Neurospora crassa OR74A: one gene and its partner. The protein of the gene in region 1 purifies or fractionates together with the protein of each later gene. This does not show direct contact. Links are inferred from orthologs where the notes say so. Each region holds a gene or a part of one and is shown on either strand. Other genes may lie near its edges.

Region 1 (4,151 bases):
TTTCCTCCTTCTCCGCCTTCCTCTTCTGCGTTTTCCTCCTCGATGCGTTGCCGACCCTTGAAGGTCTGCTTGTCCGGGACGACATATTTGTTGCGGTGGAATTCGTGAAGCAAAATGTACTCGTTCCGCTCAGCACGCGTACCGGTAAGTGTTCTTGCCCACGAGTTACCAGCCAGGTTGGTGAGAACCTTGGTAAGAGGAAGAATTTGAGTCCTGAGTGCAAGAGCCGCGATGAAGTAAGTGTCAGTCTCGGCGTGGGAGATGTAGTCCATCAAACCATGTTTGTCAGCGTTAGCCCACGTCTTCAGGGCGACTTCGTTGTCGATATCCCTCCTACGACTTTCGCCTCCCAGATACAGACTGCACATCTCGGTCAAGGACCAGGTCTGGCACTTGGTCATTACTGATTTACCGGCATCGTTAGCAAGATCGCATAGCAGACGGCCAGACATTATCTGACGTTCGGCAAATACATTGCCACCCATCTTAACAATGGACGAGGGCCACTGAGAGCGCCTGAGTCTGCCCAAACGAGACCATTGATGTGTCTTTTTCTCGTGCAGCCGGTTCAGCAAGATGCTGTAGTCAACACCTTCTAGCTGGTGGCCAAGGATAACGTCTGGATCGACAACATCGATCTGTGCGAGCAAGAAATTCAAGATCTCGTGTTCCTGCTTGAAGAGCTTGAGCACACCTCTGTTTCTTTCCTTGGCAAGCGTCTCGAAGCCGATAGGAAATGCGCTACCGTAAGGTCTAACAGCGGTGAAACTACGAGAAGCAAGCTTGTCTGGGGGAGTGGTGTCACTGAGCGACACATCAAGGTAGACTCTCCCGCTAACCGCGAGAATCTCCTGCTTATTATCCTTAGGGTTGAACGCTGTGCGCATAGCCAGGCTTAACAACGTCAAAGGAGGAGGCTCAATACTCTCGGCGTTATCCGGGACCGACACCATGTTGGGATGTTCTACCAGGACCTCCAGCTTGCAGTGCGAAGCATTCCTCAAGGAAGTGAAGTCTGCATCCTCGATCTTGAGCCAGCAGGGGCCCATGATGTTCTTCCAGAGCACAAACTGCTCGAACAGAGCGGTATTGGTACCAAAGACGTGGGAGAAGGTTTCGCCTTTGTGGGTGGGTTCCATCGCAGGCTTGGTATATGGGTAGAGGAGCTTCAAATACTGGCTCTCCTTGGGAACGTCGGGAAGCTCGAATGCGTACTTGCGGGTGCAAGCCTTGATCTTGTGCATGCCGACATTCATCTTGGTCATGATTTCATCAACCTCGTTGTAGACGTCCATCATTTCCACCTCTTCTGTTGTTTCCTCGCCACCTCGCACACGGTACTTGCGCGGCAGGAAGAAAAGCTTCCGGAGAATGTTGTCAACCTTGACAAAGCAGCTGACGTAGGTTTTGGTCTTTTTGTTTAGGACCTTGCCAAACAAGCACAAACTGCCGTTGACCTCTGTGTAGTCTGTCCAGAACATGTTCAAGCTGCCGTCTTCTTCGATAGCGTCCTTGTAGTCAATCTTGCCAACGCTCCTGCCCTCGCTTTGTGACATGGATACGACATTGAGCTTCTGATTGATCTCGTTCCAGGAAGCAGCGTCGACCTCTGGCGCTGGTGCCCTTGCGGGTGACGAACTGGCCGGGACGGGCTCTGTCTTGAGAATCTTTTTGATTTGACGGGATGCTGATATGTTGACGCTGGCGGCTGTTACCGCTCCAGTATGGGCAACCTCCATCATGTCCTCATCTTCGTCCTCATCATCCTCATTCTTTTTGGGTTCCGGCCTGCCAAACGTCCTCCGTGTTGCTACTTTGGCGGCCGGTGAGGAGGGCATGATGGCGTCGCTCATAAGATAATCGGAGACTGGTGCAGGTTCGTCGTCCATAGCAGGCAGGTAGTCGTCGTCTGGTAGAAGGTCGTCGTCTCCTGCTGGGGATGATGCCCGATCATCGACTGTCTTGGCTCTCTTTGCCATGGGTGGCCGAGGTTCCCGTACCGGGGAGAGCACCCGGACCTTTCTCCTCTCGACTGATCGATCTCGCTTCTTGGATACTCGTGTGACCGGGACGGGGATTTGTGCGGTGACCTGGTCGATGAGGTCGTCCAAGAACTTTTCATCTTCTTCTGTTTTGATGACCTTTTGTTTTGGTGGGGCTTTGACGGCGCCTTTCGTGAAGTATTCGGTGATGTCTCTGTCGTTGGCATCTCGTTTCGCATCTTCATGTTCCTTTTGTTTCTTGGCTAAGAGGGAGGAGAACGAAGGTCAGTACCAGAACCAGAGTGCTTTATAAGTTGCTCCCATCGTCGGGTTTCAGCGTCTCGATCTGCTCACACTTGCGCGGCTTGCTGCCGGGTAGGCCTAATTCCTCCTCGCTGTCGCTGTGGTACTGGGGGAGACGGTCCCATTCTTCGCGGCCGTCGTCGGCATAACCCTCGCCATTGTCGTCAACCACGAAATCGTCCTCGTTCAAGCGGTCTCTGACGATTTTCTTGTACTGGTTCTCGTCGACTTCTTCGTAGAGCTCGTCGATCTCGCCGACGTCGTAGGTCTTCTTCTTGCCGGACTGGCGCAGTTCGCGCAGCTCAGCGTACTTGTCTCGCTTGGCTACTCGTCTGGACATTTTGACAGGCCGTTGTGATGTTGCCTTTAGGATTGGAGATTGGATGGTGACGAGACAACAGAGGAGCACCAGGCCAACACTCTGGAGAGAATGTCGACGGGGCCACCGTGATGTGGTAGTGTTGGTGACAAGAGTCGTAAGAGAAATATAGTGGGATTACAGGGTTCAATTGGTCCCCTCCAGTAACAAAAAGAAAGTCGCGTTTAGTTTCGTTACTCGTCGCGTACTTTACTGTAAACTGTAAGCGCGAACCCTTGTCCCCGTCACGGTCGTGTTTAAGAGGTGGGGCAGTTCTGCTGCTTTGGCCTAAGCGGATACCTAAGGAAAGCAACGTAGTGGCCCACGTACATAGTGTACGTACCTTTCAGCAACGGGGCCCCTGTCAGTGTACCTGATGCCGACCCCCGACCCACCGCGTCTCCACAAGTGCAAAAGGCCGCGGCAGGCATTTTTGTAGATCAGTCTCCAAAATTTCGGAATGTCATCCTAACTTTTGGCCATCATTCACGGTCTCCATCTCAGCATCATCCTCCGTCCAGAGTCCAGGGCAGTTGTGCGCCCGCCGCAGCAAAATACCAAATATCGATTTCTTCCCGGGCCATAGCTTTGATACCACATCGCCCAATTCTCAAAGTTGTCTAGAACAACAGGAAATCGTCACAGGAAACTCGACGATCCAGATACCCCACCAACCGACCATTAGCAACACAGGTACCTCGGCCCGTACCTCGCAGAAGAAAAAGATTCAAAACAATCAAGGGCAAACTCGGTTGTCCGCAAACCATGTTTGTGTGCCGGGCTTGTCTGCGGAAAGGCCTGGCTCCTGGAGCTTTGGCTAGGATAAATGCGCCTGCAGTTGGATCTCGTCTGGCCCTTCCAAGGTTAGGCGCACTTACACCAAGCCAGTCCACGACCACCATACGATCCTACCACTTGCCCGCCCTCAAGCCAAAGACTGCCGCCGATCCCTCCGTTACCCTCGATCTCGAAGCGCCGGAAGGGGAAGAAGATGGAGACGGGTCGGAAGGGAAGAGGAAGAAGAGGGACCTGAGCGACGAGCAGCGGAAGAAGCTGGAGCGCAGTGCGGCTTTACAACTAAAGCACTTCAAGGATCCCTTCCACATCGAGAAGCAGGTCAAGTTGACCCTTGACAAAGGAAAATATGAAGAGGCCCTTGTTCTCACCCGCAAGGCCAGCAAGAACGCAAAGGTCCAAGTCTCGTGGAACCATCTGATCGACTACCACATGAAGAACAAGCGTCTGTCTGCCGCCATCAAGATCTACAACGAGATGAAGAAGCGCGCCCAGGTTCCAGATGCCAGGACTTACACCATCATCTTCCGAGGCTGCGCCATGAGCGAGCACCCCAAGCAGGCAGTTGCAGAAGCCGTCAAGATCTACCACAGCTTGCTCAGGAATGAGCGCGTGAAGCCAACCACAATTCATCTTAACGCTGTCCTCGAGACATGTGCCCGCGCCGGCGATTTGGACAGCATGTTCACGACAGTACAAACAGCCAACGAAAG
Region 2 (4,231 bases), on another chromosome or scaffold:
CTCTCGTCCTCCCCGGCCACCCTCCTCTCACCCACCTCTCTGATCTTCTCCCCTAATATTCTCCTTCCATACCTTTCCGCGACCTTACCCGCCGCCTCAATCATCCGCCCCGTCCTGTCTTTCATAAGTTTCACCACCTCCAGTGCCCTCATCCCCCTATCCTCACCCTCGCGGCACTCAATCGCCAGCAGCTGCAGCAGAGTCTTGTCGATATCAAGCTCCAGCCTAGCCAGCGCGGCGCGCTGCGAGGCCGTGGACCGGGAGCTTTCGAGCATGTCCGAGAGCTGCGCGGCGCGCAGGGATGAGAGAAGGAAGGATTGGGTTAAGGGAAGGGATTCCTTGGTTGTTAGGGGATCGGCGTTGTTTTCGGAATCAGAGTCGTCGGCTTCTGATGCAGAGAAATCGTTGTCCTCCTCGTCTTCACCGTCAACGTCCATAGAATCGTCGCCACTACGTGTCTTCTTTTTCTTGGATTGCTTCTTGGGCTTCGCGGAGGTGAGGGGTACGGCAAAGTCGAATTCGGAAAGCAAGGGGCGAGGGAAGTAGGGGTATTGGTCGCCACCCTTGAGGATGATGCAGTGAAATTTGTGGTCGGCGACAGCGATGGGGAAATAGGATTCCTTTTTGCGGCCGGAGGCGAGACGCGGGAGGAGACGGGTGTCGAGGAGGGGCACCCATACGGCCCGGGATGGACGGCGCCAGTGAAGGAGCGTGAGGAGGGTGCCGGTTGAGTCGTAAATGCAGGGGTCCTGGACCGGATGTTAGTGGATGGGTAAGATACAAGGGAAGAGGGAGAGAGGGACGAAGACGTACGCCATTGTCAGAAAAGAAGACGCTCTTCACTGTCGCGCCTTCAGGAAGGGCGACGGTGTCTTCGTTCTGACAAACTTCATCCCGCTTGATGTTCTCAATGGTATACAGCAAGCGCGACATACCGTCCGCACCCACAGGCCCGTTCCCCATAGTCAGGACGTAGTCCCTCCAACTAGCGCACGTAACCATCGGTGTGCTCTTGGGTCTGTACACCCTCACGGGAATGCCGAAAAGGGTGTATATCCTCACATAGTTGCCCGTCGTTGTCACGGTAATATATGAATCACTCAGCGACATGGCCAGCACCGCCTCACCCTTGGGCAGCTGTATGCGCCAATCATTTCTTTGCGTCCAGGTCTCATGGGGGCGGTAAAAGACCACAGCTGGGGAGCCATCCTCTTTGGGTGGGCACGAAAAAAGGCTGCCCTTGTCGTTCAAGCAGGCCTTATCGTAGAGGAAGGTATCGGTAAAGTGGAAGTCTCTGTGGAACTCGTGGTCGTAAAACTCGACGGTTACGGTATTGTGAGAGTCTTGGTCAACGGTCCAGACAAAGCCGATCAGGTTCAAGCAGAGATATTTCCGGTTGCCGCGCCATGGCGTCGATCCAGGTTGGAAGGAGGGATGGTGTTGCGGTTGGACAAAGTTGCCACGCTTGGCAGTGTGACTCTCGTAGATCGCATCGTCTTCGGCTGGGCGTTTGCGGCCCGCGTTGAGGGTGTATCCTGCGCCGTCATCGTCCACCACGAAATCGTCGTCGTCGCCGTAGTTTTCGTCCAGGAGGTCATCGAGATCGGCGTCCACGGAGTCTCTGCGTGGGCGAGCGTCGGGCTTAGGACCACTGACTTCTAAGCGGCGGGTGTTGTTGGATAGTTCGGTGAGAGGGTCGTGGATAAAGGGGGCGGGCTGCTTGGGTAGCCTGAGAAGAGAGGCGAACTGCTCCGGGACGAAGTCGGGGCTAATGTAAAGCTCTCCGTCGGAGGTTGTGAATGAAGCAAGGTTTTTGGTGGGATGCCAGCAGATATCGGTAACATTGGGATATTCGTATCTTGCGATGACACTCTGGTCTTTCGTTGACCAGATCAGAAGCTTCTTGTCCTTGCCAGCCGAGGCGAGCAGGGCACCGTTGGGCGACCAAGACAGGGCCGTGATATCTCCGTCGTGACCGCTCTTAAAGACCCGCTGCTTTTCCCAGTCGTTCTTGGAAATAACCTGAATGTCTCGTGTAGGAGTGGGTGCGGCAAAGGCGCGACCATCGGGGTGCCAGACCGCCCTTGACGAGGCTTCGGACTCTGTCTCTAGCCTGCCAATGACACCATCCACCTTGCGAATCAGCTCTGGGTGTTCGGCAGTCAAAGAGTATATGTATATGACGCCGTCGGTACATGATAGCGCGAGCAAGCTGCCCTTGGGATCGAAGGTCAAGTGTTTTGTCGGCTTTCCGTGTTCTTTGAGGGTACGGAGCTGGGTGTTGTCGTGCACTCCAACCAGCCTCACTGTAAGCTCGTCGCTGGCAACAGCGCACCACTGGTGGTCTGGGGATATGGCGACATCGCGGACTGGGAGAGAGGTTCGCAGAAGGAAACGGTCGAAGGCATTAGTGTCGAGGGAGTACAAGCTGACGGTACCGTCTTCGGAGCCGGCCACAAAGTAGTTGTTGCTGGTGGCAAGGGCAAGGTTCTGTTCCTGGCAGTCGTCGATATTCGTGGGCTCGCCTTCATAGCCCGTCTTGTAGAGTCTGGTGGTGTTGTTGGACCCGACCGTCACCAGTCTGGTGCCATCGGGGGTGTAGGCGCAGTATGTTGCTCCCGGGGGATGGGCGGGTCGTGACCGTGGTCGGGATGCGATGAGGGTGGTCATGTTGAGAGATGGCTGAGTGTATTTACCCTGGGACCATTCATTCCCTTCCAGGTTCTTCAGCCGCAAAGAGGGAAGAGGGAAGAAAAAAGAGGAAGGGTAGGTAAAGTGGTAAACGGCGTGTAAGTTACAAGATGGAAAGACGCGTCGAGCGCGTTTTCAATTTACAGCACGCGCTAGCAACTTAGGTATCGTGCCCCACCATTGTCATCCCCACGGCAGCGAGTACTGCGTAGTATACTCAGGACCCACTCATTCCACTTGGGCGCTGAACTTCCCCGCCAAATGTTGGATAGGGGTAGCTCCTCCCGCGGCCGTAGGGCTGGCTGTTAAGAATGGCCCTTTCTATAGCTGCATTTCTTAACAGGCCGCTAACACCACTTATCGCTCTAATTGTCTGCCTGTTGACTTCGAATCATCTGGAACACCATCCACTCCCGTCATTACCTCTAGGCGGCCACTTACTTACAAATCAGAAGAAGTTGCTATATTCAAGAAGAGAGCACAGTAGGAACCATTCAATCACCCACCGCCTTCACCAGAGCTGAACAGAAGAAGTCAACATTGGACATCCTCAAGCATCAAAATGCAGTCCTCAGACCCACGCCATTTCTTCGAGACCGAGTAAGTAACCAGGGGTTCCCTTAACGTCAACAAGATGAACTAGAGCCTGACATCTTGGAGTGCGGAGATTGCGAAGAGAGAGAGGAGAGAAGCCAAAACCAAGAACACCTATGGCAACCCCATCAAACTCAAGTCCAAGATCCTTGGAGCCGTTGTTGACCCCCGTGCTCCCTCATCGGCCATCTTCGTAGCCGAGTCTGCCGGATCAGTCCGGAGAGTCCAGGTCGATGGTGAGGGAGACACAAAGACAGTCTACCGCGGTCCCACGACACCCGTCAGTTGTGTAGCTGTGGGTGGCCCCGGCAACAAGACCGTCTTTGCCGGTGCCTGGGACAAAAACATCTGGTCCTGGGACATTGATACCAAGGCTCCGGGCCGCAAATATGCTGGTCACTCGGACTTCGTCAAAGCCATCGTTTGCGCAAGGCTGGGCGGAAAGGATGTTCTGGTCAGTGGTGGTGCTGACAAGAAGATCATTGTTTGGGACATTGCAACCGGCTCCAAGCTTCATGTGCTACAGGACAGCGTGGTGAACATGCTCAGCATCCAGGACCTGGTCGTCGACCCTGCTTCTTCGTCACCGGATGAGTTGTGTATCATCAGTGCCAGCAGCGACCCGCACATCCGCCGTTGGAAGATTCGTTTAAATGGGTGGGAGCAGTTTGCGGAGCCTGACCCTGCTACCCCGGCAGCAGAGCGACATACCATTCTTGAGCACGAGACGACCGTCTATAAGCTGGTCATCGATCACGACGGCGATGAGGCCGACTTGTGGTCTGCGAGCGGTGACGGATCCGCCAAATGTCTGTCCAGAATCAAGGGCTTCACTGCTGACGACACTTTCGAGCACGGCGACCATGTCCGTGCTGTGGCGGTCACAGATCAATGGGTCATCACGGCCGGACGCGATGAAGACCTCAAGGTCTGGGACCGGACTTCA

Evidence for each region. The genes of interacting proteins can lie anywhere in the genome.
Region 2: the proteins of NCU07870 (region 1) and mus-27 purify together in Schizosaccharomyces pombe (affinity purification with western blotting; 3 studies listed by BioGRID). This does not show direct contact. The link is inferred for Neurospora crassa OR74A from reciprocal best matches to the Schizosaccharomyces pombe genes pol1 and mcl1.

The regions. Positions count from the first base shown.
Region 1 is NC_026503.1:1,182,422-1,186,572, forward strand, and holds the start of NCU07870 (DNA polymerase alpha catalytic subunit), read right to left. Parts: upstream 2,801-4,151; 5' UTR 2,626-2,800; coding exon 2,337-2,625; intron 2,246-2,336; coding exon 1-2,245. Other genes in the region: NCU07871 (hypothetical protein), read left to right, coding at 3,409-4,151.
Region 2 is NC_026502.1:3,504,125-3,508,355, reverse strand, and holds the start of mus-27 (chromosome segregation protein), read right to left. Parts: upstream 2,801-4,231; 5' UTR 2,671-2,800; coding exon 814-2,670; intron 750-813; coding exon 1-749. Other genes in the region: NCU08485 (WD repeat protein), read left to right, coding at 3,254-3,291, 3,352-4,231. UniProt on the Schizosaccharomyces pombe protein: Has a role in regulating DNA replication complexes. Acts as a regulator of post DNA replication initiation. Associates with chromatin during G1 and S phases of mitosis. Required for the transcriptional repression of the outer repeats of the centromeric region.